Astyanax mexicanus: one gene and its partners. The protein of the gene in region 1 purifies or fractionates together with the protein of each later gene. This does not show direct contact. Links are inferred from orthologs where the notes say so. Each region holds a gene or a part of one and is shown on either strand. Other genes may lie near its edges. The genes, in order: nop56, nolc1 and gnl3.

Evidence for each region.
Region 2: the proteins of nop56 (region 1) and nolc1 purify together in Homo sapiens (affinity purification with mass spectrometry; 6 studies listed by BioGRID and IntAct, with this or other methods). This does not show direct contact. The link is inferred for Astyanax mexicanus from reciprocal best matches to the Homo sapiens genes NOP56 and NOLC1.
Region 3: the proteins of nop56 (region 1) and gnl3 purify together in Homo sapiens (affinity purification with mass spectrometry; 4 studies listed by BioGRID and IntAct, with this or other methods). This does not show direct contact. The link is inferred for Astyanax mexicanus from reciprocal best matches to the Homo sapiens genes NOP56 and GNL3.

Annotation. Positions count from the first base shown.
Region 1 is NC_064424.1:42,804,269-42,808,022, forward strand, and holds the start of nop56 (nucleolar protein 56), read left to right. Parts: upstream 1-881; 5' UTR 882-979; coding exon 980-982; intron 983-3,034; coding exon 3,035-3,124; intron 3,125-3,234; coding exon 3,235-3,349; intron 3,350-3,551; coding exon 3,552-3,716; intron 3,717-3,754. UniProt on the Homo sapiens protein: Involved in the early to middle stages of 60S ribosomal subunit biogenesis. Required for the biogenesis of box C/D snoRNAs such U3, U8 and U14 snoRNAs. Part of the small subunit (SSU) processome, first precursor of the small eukaryotic ribosomal subunit.
Region 2 is NC_064414.1:4,018,842-4,022,595, reverse strand, and holds the start of nolc1 (nucleolar and coiled-body phosphoprotein 1), read left to right. Parts: upstream 1-1,283; 5' UTR 1,284-1,330; coding exon 1,331-1,441; intron 1,442-2,990; coding exon 2,991-3,046; intron 3,047-3,160; coding exon 3,161-3,312; intron 3,313-3,754. UniProt on the Homo sapiens protein: Nucleolar protein that acts as a regulator of RNA polymerase I by connecting RNA polymerase I with enzymes responsible for ribosomal processing and modification.
Region 3 is NC_064431.1:25,174,839-25,178,592, reverse strand, and holds the start of gnl3 (guanine nucleotide-binding protein-like 3), read left to right. Parts: upstream 1-1,548; 5' UTR 1,549-1,640; coding exon 1,641-1,653; intron 1,654-2,300; coding exon 2,301-2,359; intron 2,360-3,198; coding exon 3,199-3,339; intron 3,340-3,430; coding exon 3,431-3,550; intron 3,551-3,632; coding exon 3,633-3,722; intron 3,723-3,754. UniProt on the Homo sapiens protein: May be required to maintain the proliferative capacity of stem cells. Stabilizes MDM2 by preventing its ubiquitination, and hence proteasomal degradation.

The DNA of each region.
Region 1 (3,754 bases):
CTATGATGATATATTCCCAGCAGAGGGCGCACCGGTGCAGTTTAACGCGGAACAACTGACAAAAATATATAATAAATATATATAATAAATATATAGAAATTAAATTTCATTAAATGATCTATATGTCAAAATGTGAAATATAAAAATATATATATAATTTAAAAAATAATAAAATAAAAACATATTTTAAATGTATATTAAATTAAATATAAATAATAACAATAATTATCAGGCATTTAATAAATAATTCATCATTATATTAATAAATAATGTGTGTAAAAATGGCTGAAAACATACGTCCAACAAAAAGAAAAAAAATAATCTATATATTTTTTGTACTCTGCCTAGACTCGAAAAAATGTAGTATTTTTTACATTTTGAAATAAAAATTAAATAAAAAGCTTTTGTTTGTTAAGTGCTGTTAAAAGCAATGCATGTATAAATTCAAGATATATAAAAATCATATGTGCAAACTAATAGTATTGTATTATTATATTTACGCTTGTTTATATTAATATTGTTTATCGGAATTACTGATATTATTATTATTTTTGTTGTGATTGTTATAAATGAGCAAAATGCTCATTTTTAATGTATATTTTTATTAATAAATACTACAATTTAAACATGAGGTAGGCCAAGTAGATTGGAAAATGAATATTGAATGGTTTTGATATAATATATATATTTCCTCACATGTAAATAATACACAGTACTCAGGGTTTATAATTTAAAAATTATCCTAATAAATGTTATTCTAGCTAAATATCCATGCAATTTAATGCTATAATATCAGAGGAAGTTCTAACTTTATTGTTTTTATAAGAGAAACACCGCGAGATCTGTTGTACCAGCACGGATCTGAAATCTCGCGAGAGTGGTAACATAAAGCTCCACATGGCCTCCCCTCGGCAGCACATGCAGCCTCTTCTTTCTGCAGCAGCTTCAGTAGAGGGAGGCACGCGGAAATCAGAGCAGGATGGTAGCTACCACTTTTAAACACTTTATTTACCTGGAAATACTATTTAATACTCGTTTATTAGCGCATTATTCTAAAAGTTAAAGCTTTAATTACGCTGGTTGTGATAATAACTTTTGGCATTTTCTGATAAATAAGCTTAAAATCGACTAGAATTTGGGGCATATTTGTGTAACTTAGCTGAATTTGTATGAGTTTGGCATTACCTTAAATTGTGAATTAGTGAATTATGCTTATTTTTAAACATTTTATGAAAATTATAAAGTGAGCTTGGGGTCTAATTTAAGCCAGAATGTCTAAAAATAGCTGTTGAAATGTTTGTTAGCTAATAATCACGTTGCGTAGCTGCTGCTGCTGCTGTTAGGCCCTGGCCTAGTTTTCCTATGGCGTTTTTCCCTTTAACGCAGCGCAGCATAAAACATTCTTGCAATATACGTTATTTATTTTATTTAAAGCTATATTTTTCTTTTATTTTATATGAATCCGTTTTATTAAATGTATAATTTGAGTGGATATGGTCTGCAGGAGGAACACGTGGGGCACTCGCCTTCAACATGTGTTCAAAACCAGTTAGCGTTAGCTAGGTTAAGCTACATAGCTAGCGTTAGCGTTTGGAAGAAACTGAACATTTTATTTGGTTATAGCCAAGTTTCTCCATTAAAAAGACTCCCATGTGAGCTTTATCTGCTCTAATGTATCCTCCGTGTTCATTAACGTTTATTAAATAAGTTATAAGTAATATTTTTACTGTTTCTAGAGGTCAGGGCTGCAGGAGCGGTTCACGCGCAAACCACGTGTCTGCATTTCTGCAGCGTTTTTGAGCGACTTCAGCTAAACTAAACTAGCTAACAGTTAGTTACAGGCATTTAAATAGATAAAGCTATGCTTTAGCCATCACTCTAAAAACATGTTAATATTACTGTAATCTTTTTCTTTTATTTTCTAGAATGTGTGTTAATATCTTAATATAACCGTAAAATTAAGTTTTGAGTCCTGTGAACCTAAACGCGGGCTAGCTAAATATTACTTCTATGTTTTAGGATTTTAATATTTAATTTTTTAAAGAAAAAAATAATGTTTAAGATCTTAAATAACCCTTTTTAAAATAAGCTATTGGTCCCTGTGAGCCTAAGTTTACTTTTTTAACATTTAATTTAAAATCTTTTTTTGAGCATAAGTTTTATGATAAATCTTTAAAAAAAATAAATAAATAAATTGGCCCCTGTGAGCTTAAACGTTGACTAGTTTAAGTGGAAGTACCTGAACTAAAAAATAATCTATATCATTATTTACCTTGAGAAATAACTTAGATTGTTAGTTTTGCTGTAGTTTAACTGCTTTTATTGTACGTTTAATAACATGGGACCCTATTAGTGTAACAAGGGCTCTGTGATATTAGCAAACATTTTAATCTCATATCCCTATAATTCTGCACAGTGTAAAAAAAAAAAAGTTTTTTATAAAATAACCGTGTTAAAAAGCCACGTGTATTACACTCAACAACTAATTATTGTTTTATTGCGAAATCTTTTACTCAACATTTTTTAAACACAGTAAAATTGTTAAAACGCGGCTTTAAATGAAGCCGGAAGATAATTCAGAGACCCCTAAATCGAAAGCCTCAAATACCAAATTTGGTACAAACCCGTTTTAAATCATTTTGCCTAATTAGGAGTTATTTTAATCTAGAGCTTACATACATCAATGTTTTATCATATTGTGTGTTATTGTATCAACAGTAAGCATATTCAGGATATCAGTATCAGTCAATCTTTTATTTTTTGCTTAGTCGATGACTGACACTACTGATGCATTTTTGGCTGCCTGTTAAAATGAAATTCTGTATATTTTAAATATTTAAAATTGATATCTTTAACGTTTCGCTTAGCTGACAAGTCTGTAGTTTTAAGTGTGTTCTTAAGGTACTAAAGTGGGAATAATTATAATAATAATAAAAAACAAATTTAGAATTCATACAATATGGTAGTGATGGGTAATTTCAGAGATTTTATAGCTGGACAAATTTTTTAAATTCACTTATTTATTCCCCTCCAGGTGCTCTTACACGTGCTGTTTGAGCATGCGTCAGGCTATGCCCTGTTCGCCGTCAAAGAAGTTGAAGAGATCGGCATGCTTTTACCTCAGGTGCGTTTTTATTTTATTAAATCTTCAGGACATTTTCTTAGTGTCTTTTTGTGCTGAGCTAATTTTATGTGCAGCATCTGATTAGATTTTTTTGCTCTTTTTGTATTCAGGTGGAGGAAAGTGTTTTGAATATTGGGAAATTCAACACTGTTGTAAAACTGGCAGCTTTTTTCCCCTTTAAATCTGCACAGGCTGCACTTGAGAACATAAATGCCATTTCAGAAGGTAAGTAAAACCAGGCTTTGAGCTCTGATAGTGTAGCTCAGATAGTGATGTGATTATAGTCTGTCAATCCACTGAATGATTGTGCTGACAACATAAAATACCTAACTGAATCTGAGTGAAAACTGAAACTACATGTTAATAAAACTTCTTAAAGACACAAGTGAATGATCAATAACTGATAAGTGGTTGAATCTCTTGTTAGGAGTCGTCCATGCAGACCTTAAACTGTTTTTGGAAACAAACCTGCCTTCTGGAGGCAAGAAGAAGGCTATGCTTGGTGTGGCCGATGGCAAGATTGGAGCAGCACTGCAAGAAGAGTTGGGCCTGTCCATTCAGACTGGAGGAGTGGTGGCAGAAATTATCAGAGGTTTGAGGAAGTTTTGATCTTTAGTAGTAGCTGGGTTT
Region 2 (3,754 bases), on another chromosome or scaffold:
CGAGAGGGCATTAGTGCATTTCCCTTCATTTACCCCTCCAATTTCTCTCTCTCCTCTTGATCTTGTTACTCTTAAAAACATTTGTTTTCCATTCTTTGTAAAGCATAATCTGTTATACAGTCCAATATTCCTGAGGTAATTACAGTCATGTTATATTGCTAACAAACACAGCAGCTTGGCTCAGCAAGGTTGGAGCAGGTTAGTCATGATGCTAACAGCTGGCCCTGGCCGAGTTAGACCAGGTTAACCACAATGCCAAAAGCTGGGTTTGACAGTGGTGGACCAGGTTAGCCGTGATGCTATAAACCAGGCGAGATTGAAGCAATTTCCTGTAATGTTAACATTAAATCTCTAGCCAGGTGGGAGCCCCAATGCTAACAGACTGAACAGCCACGTACAGATAATTTAGTGCAGATGAGCCACAGCCTACAGGGTTAGAGTCGTAATGCTAACAGACACAGCAGCTGGTCTAGGCAGGGCTGGAGCAGGTTCTCTGTGATGATAAAAGCTTGGCTCGTTAGCCTAGTGCACTTGTGTTACTTTGAATACTTTGGACACCTTTCGTTTAGGGCACCAGGTGTGTAGTGTGCCGTGTGTAGTGTGCAGCATGTAGGGCACTAGATGTGTAGTGTGCAGCGTGTCGGGCACCAGAGGTGTAGTGCTCATTGTGTAGGGCACTAGGTGTGTAGTGTGCACTGTGTAGGGCACTAGGTGTGTAGTATGCAGCGTGTCGGGCACCAGAGATGTAGTGCTCATTGTGTAGGGCACTAGGTGTGTAGTGTGCACTGTGTAGGGCACTAGGTGTGTAGTGTGTGGGGCACTAGGTGTGTATTGTGCAGTGAGTAGAGCACTAGTCATAGACATGTATACTGAAAATAGACATGCATACATAAACGCCGCATAGCCGGCCTCCTGGCGTATCAGCCGGCCGCCATATTGGAGGAGTCAACCACTCGCCCCTAGTTCATTTATTAGTACGGAGGAAGGTATTTAAAACACCTATAATAATCACAACTCTATCAAAGTGTACCCGATTTTTACAGGGTTTGGTTTGTTTTAAACAGCAGAGCAGAGATGTAGCTATGCTATAGGAAGCTGTTACACATTAAGAATACGTTATATACGTTTATGCTGAAATAACCTGTATTATGTTTATATGGTATACATGCTCTAGGGCGCATGGGAGACTCCTCCAATATGGCGGCCGGCTGACATGCCAGCTTCAAAAGGCGGCGTCTGTTTCGGACGTGCCTTCGTTTAGGCGTAAAACGTGTGGATGCCGTGTTTCTTCGTCATTTCCTGTGCGCGCAGTCGGTGTGGTATAGAGAAGATGGCGGAGGTCGGCGTGGTTCCGAGTGATCTATTCCCGTATGTTTACTCTTTTCTGCTCCAGAACAAGTTCAGCAAGGCGGCCCAGGAGTTTATGAAGAAGACTAAAGTGGTGAGTGCCCGGTAACCGGTCCCGTTGTGGCGCGCGGTACGTTTCTGCGAGACGGGGAGTCCGGCTGCGCGCGCGCTGTAAACACGTGTTCAGTACGGCGCGCGAGGGGCAGCGCGAGCCGATTATTGCACGGGTTACAAGCCAAAGTTACTTACTGCGCAGGTTACTGTCCGCGGTACTGCCCTGGTTACTGCCTACGGTAACTACTGCCCGGGTTACTGCTCGCGGTGCTCCGAACACAGAACCAAAGGGTGACCGATTATAACCGGTATAAGTAACGTTATATCTGTGCTAATCCTGATCAGGACTCACAGCGGTAACGTTACTGAAGAACCGGGCAGAGCAGCGTTACTGTAATAATAATACTCAACTTATTTATTACCACTTATTTTATATCCCGTCATATTATAACTAGATATTAAAATACATACTACTGAAAGTACGGTGTAATAACCTAACCAAAAACTAGTGTTCTTTGCTGAGGGAATCACTGTGCCATACAGGGTTAAAACTATGTATCTAAATACTTATTTTTAAACTTTATTTTGTTTAAACATGAAAAAGCAGGCTGTACTATTTAGAGTAAATTCAGACTGAATTTAGTGCAATTAAAGTAAGAATTACAGTTTTATGTAGAGAAGATAAACTAGCTAGAGATCTGTGAGCACGTGGTAAAGTCCACGTTTCTCCTCCAGTCATCAAACACACCAGTTCACCCACTGTTTTCTCCTCCAGTCATCACACACACCAGTTCACCCACTGTTTTTTTTAGCCACTGTTTCCATGATCTTAACTAGTAGATTGAGAACTTGTTTGTTCAGACTGATCCTGCTGGAACCGGTTCATTTAAAAGTCATTTTAATAGCTGAGAGGAAAGCAGGTTCTGGATCATAACTACATTTAATACAGGAAGAGGAGGATAATTACAACAAATTAAATACATGTTTTTTTTTCTGTAAGCACATACACACTTACTGTCGGGATTGTTAGCTTAGTTTTCTGACATTCTATCTGTACCTTCATACCATTAGTCCGTTACATCCACTGATTACTTACTGTAATAATAACCACTTGATAAATGATGTACAACAGCACCAGTGGATAGTTTTGACACACCTTCTCATTCAGTGTTTTTTATTTATTTATGATTTTCTACATTTGTAGATGAATATTAAAGACTAGAAATCAATTAAGGGACACATATGGAATTACATAGTAAATGTGGATGAGCAAGCATGTTGACTGTTTACAAATGTATTTTAGTTATTTAGAATATTTGAAAGGTATTTCAATTGAATTGCCTGGATATTCTTAATTATTAAAAGCTTATTGCTCTTTTAAAGGTATGTGTATTTTATGCTATTATGTTATCTTTACAGCAGTGTTGAAAATGACTGCTAGTTAAGCACTGTAATTCCTGGGAAATTGTTATTGTTAATTATTGTAACAGGCAATATGTACAAAAGGTAATTCATGTGAATTTGGAGCTATTAGTAAGGTAGTAGTTTGGTGTAATTATACATAAGTAATAAAGATTGTCTCAATTCAGAAACCTCAAGACGAAAATGAAGAAGGACTCCTTGACGTCTTCCAGTTCTGGGTCAAGTAAGTGAATGTTTATTACTAACCCTGTTAAAGTTACTTTGTGGGCAAAGCACTTTTAATTTTGCGATGTTGGAGGTTCGTAATTGTAACACACGTCTGTGTGTGTACGTTTAGATCTGGAGAGTCCAAAAAGCGTAAGGCCGTTACTAATGGACCTGCTGCAGTCAACGGGCCGTCTGCGAAGAAGACCAAAAGGGAGAGCTCCAGTAGTGAAGAGTCGAGCAGTGATGAGGAGGAAGCCCCAGCTGCAAAGAAAACTCCTCCAGGTAACCTATTGCTGTAATCAATCAATCAATCAATCTTTATTTTGATTCAGAAGTACATTGAGAGCAACCCTCATTTTCATTGTAGCTGAGCATCTACAGAAATGGGGATTGACATGACAAAGAAAATAATAGCTACATTTAATTATTTAAAATTACAGTAAATCTTCTCTATCCCATTATTTCCCTTCGACCACCTTTAAGCCCTATCTAAAGATGTTTTACCTTTAACTTCTATTACTTTTGGACTTGACTATTGTAAGTCGCTTTGGACAAAAGCGTCTGCCAAATATAATGTAATGTAATGTAAAATATAAAAATAGATAAAAAAATAAAATAAAAATAGTTAGAATAAAAATAAATTAATAATAATTTATTATAAAGCTTGGTTTAAGTGATACAAAATTAAGATCAAAAGAAGATAAGATTAATACAACGAAAAAAT
Region 3 (3,754 bases), on another chromosome or scaffold:
GCACCAATATAGGATGCAGCCCATACTCTAAAATTTGGTTGGACCGCCTTCAGCTTTGATTGCGGCACACATTCACTGTGGTATTGTTTTGATAAGCTTCTGCAACGTCCCAAAATTATTTCAATCCAGTACTTTTTCACCAAGATCTTGCAGCAGCATTGACGATGGTAGAGTCTGACTGCTGCACAAATTCTTCTCCATCCAGCACAGCCCAAAGATTCTTAATGAGGTTAAGATCTGGACTCTGTGGTGAACTCTCTCAATCCATGTGTGAAAATGATGATCTCATGCTCCCTGAACCTGAAACTCTTTCACAATTCCAGCCTCGTGAATTGCTGGCATTGTTATCTCTGAATATGCCTGTGCCATCAGGGAAGAAAAAATCAATTGATGGAATAACCTGGTCTATATTCAGGTAGTCAGCTGACCTCATTCTTTCAGCACATACTGTTGCTAAACCTAAACCTGACCAAGTGCAGCAACCTCATTTGCTGATCATTTGCTCAGTTAAATCTAGGTGGCCAGTCAGTGTATAAAAACACTTCTTTAAGCCCAAATTGACTTCCACATGGTAACATTTGCTAATAATATTTTTATTGCTTGACTTATTATATTATCAGTTAGCGGTTATGTACAGTAGATGGGATAATGCCTTTATTTTATGTATTTCCATAATTTTACTTTTTTCTTCTTCAGTATAAAAAAGGTTTATACTGTAAAAATTAATTAATTAAAAGCAGCCTGGAACCAAGGTTTAACTCAATATACAGTATTTTAATTAAAATATCACCACCGTTTTTTAAACCAAGCACCACCTGAATCATCTACTCTTTTATATTGGTCCCAGCAGACGTCCAGTCAACAACCAGTCAGTCCAGTGGTTTCTGGTTTATGGGGAGCAGTGTCACAACAGATTTCACAACAAATCATGAAAAAACAGGTGGGAAATAATAATATTTAGCTATAAACATGTGTTTATAACATAGACACTGTATTGTTTGATTTGGGTTCACTAGCTTAATATAATACCCTGCACTCTATTGTTCCACAGTGTGGAATAAATCAAAGCTCAGGAATCTGTTTTTATATAAAAAAAAATGTAGATTAATTTCAACACTTAATGCACAACTCCTTATTTAAGATGAGAGGAATATCTCACAGCCCGGGCTGCGTGGAGTGTTATAGTCCAGGGCAGGATTATTACAGTGCTGGTGTGAATGGATGGATGACAGCAGCTTCAGCAGCAGCAGCTTCAGCAGCGGCTCCGCTCCACAAACACAAAGGCGCGCCGGCCGGAGCCTGTAGCTAGCTGTAGCCGGGATGCTCGCCTCCTCTCCCGGCGCCGTCCTGCTGCCTCGCCCGCTGAGCTGATAAACTATCTACCAGCACCGCTGGAGGAAAACGGCGCTTGGCGGGTGAGCCTTACCTCAGCGTTGAGTCCGGGCCTGTGTGTGGTGTTTGCGGGCGGTTGGAGGCATTTGGAATAATAAGCAGAGTGAATTTATTAGATGGAGAGAAAAAATTAACCATTTCGGTTCAGACGGCGGAAACGGAAACCGTGCGCGCGCTCGCTGCACGCGCTGCTCCATTGGTTTCAGTGCACGTGTGCGAACAGCAGCAGCAGCCGCCGAGAGAGAGCCATGAAGCGACCGAGTGAGTCACGATAACCGCTTTAAAAACGCGTTTATTAACAATTACAGCGGGAAATAGAGATATAGTTAACTCTTTATCATATGGTTTAGGCCAGTTAAACTTGAAATATGTACGTAGTTAGTTGTGTGCGCTAGCTTTACTTAACTTATAGCCACGTTAGCTTAGCATAGACGCTATATTTTTACAACACGCTGTCTCAACGTGAGGCAGCGTGTTGTAAAAAATATAGCGTTACTAACAAGCTAACTAAGCTATATTTTCCTCATTTTTTTTAAACATATATCTGTAGTTAGGTAATAGCTAGTTAAGGTATTAAGTTAGCTAAATGTGTTGGTAGGTTAGTTGTTATAATTAGAACTGTTAACCGAATAGTTTAGTTAAGCTAGCTGGCTAGCTTGCCGACGTTGTTGAGTCAGCGTGTTGTGAAAATTATAACTAGGTTAACTAACTAATCGTTCTTTAATTTGAATTTTTAATTTATTAATTGGGTATTTAGCTAAATGTGTAGGTTAGCTGTTATGGAACTTAGTTAATAGGTTAGTTAGCTGGCTAGCCGACGTTGTGGAGTCAGCGTGTTGTGAAAATTAAAGGGTTAAATAACGTTAGTTAGCTAACTTAATTTTTCTTTTTTCTTTTCTGTCTTTTAGAGTTAAAGAAGGGAAGCAAGCGCGTATCCTGCGCTAAACGCTTCAAAATTCAGAAAAAGGTAAGAAATCTTACGCTTAACCTGCGTAGTTTAAATATGCTTGCTGTTTAGCTACTTGCTGTGTTGCTAGTTAACTAGGTTAACTAGTTAAAACATAAAAGATCAATAACCTAGTTAACATATAGTTTATTTACTGCTGTTGTAACACAAACAGTTTTGAGTGGATATAGCTCAATACTGTACATTCTAAACTGGTCCATATTGTCAGTTTGGTCACAAAGTTGCAGCTGTGATCAAACTGTGTGACACACATGGTCACTGAATCAGACAGTAACGTTAGTTGACTGTCTTCACTTACTGGCACAAAAAAAAATATGACAAAACATTACATTACAAGGGATACTCAAGTGGTCCAGCAGTCTAAAGTCTAGCCACTGTGATTGGGAGATCATGGTTGGTTTAAATTCTGGTCATGTAGCTTGCCATCAGCTGCCGGAGCCCTGAGAGAGCACAATGGGCCTAGCTCCCTCTGGGTGGGTAGATGGCACTCTCCCTCATCAATCCTAGGGTATGTCGATAAGCACAAGGCATCTGTGAGCTGATGTTCATATTGTTATCAGAGTATAGTGTATCGACCAATTTAAAAAAAAAAAAAAAAACAGTGAATTCTGATAAAAATTTTGCCCATAATCTATATACATCTATATACATAAAACAAAAATGTTTAGTGCTGCATTTAAACTGTATACAAATAATTAAATATAAATACTGTTAATAGCAATACAAATGCTAATTACACAGCTTTCAAAGTGTTTTTTGTATATTTATATAAATATGTAATTTTTTGATATACTATTGCGCACAATCATTAACATTTATCTTTGTTTTACCCATTCCAGGTTCGGGAACACCACAAAAAATTACGGAAGGAGGCGAAGAAAAGTGGAATCAAGAGAAAGCTCAAGAAGGACATTGAAGTACCAAACAGTGCTCCATTTAAGGAAGAGGTCCTTAGAGAAGCAGAGCAGAGGAAACAGGAGGTCCTACGAAATTACATGCTAAGTCCGTCTGCTTTGTTTTATGGGTTAAAAATTTGCAGAGCTAAGTAATTCTGTTATATCTGTTCCACAGCTTGAAGAGCTGAAGGAAAAGAACAGACTAGCCAAGCAGAAGGAGCGAGCAGAGAAGAGAAAGGCGGCCAAAGATGGCGTCAGTGGTGCTGAGGAGCCAAAGTCAAAGAGAGTTAAAAAGGTGAATTGCATGTGAGGTTGAAACAATGGAAAAAAAGAAAATGTATTTCTGTATTTGCCTCTAAAGATGTCGTTGCTTTTAGGAGGAGAAGGTAAAGGCTCAGAGGCAAGCTAGGGCAGCTGTCGCCAAGGAGAAAAGCAACAAGGTGTTCAGATGCAAGGAGCTGAATAAGGTAAAACACTTCTGTAAGACAATCTGATAACC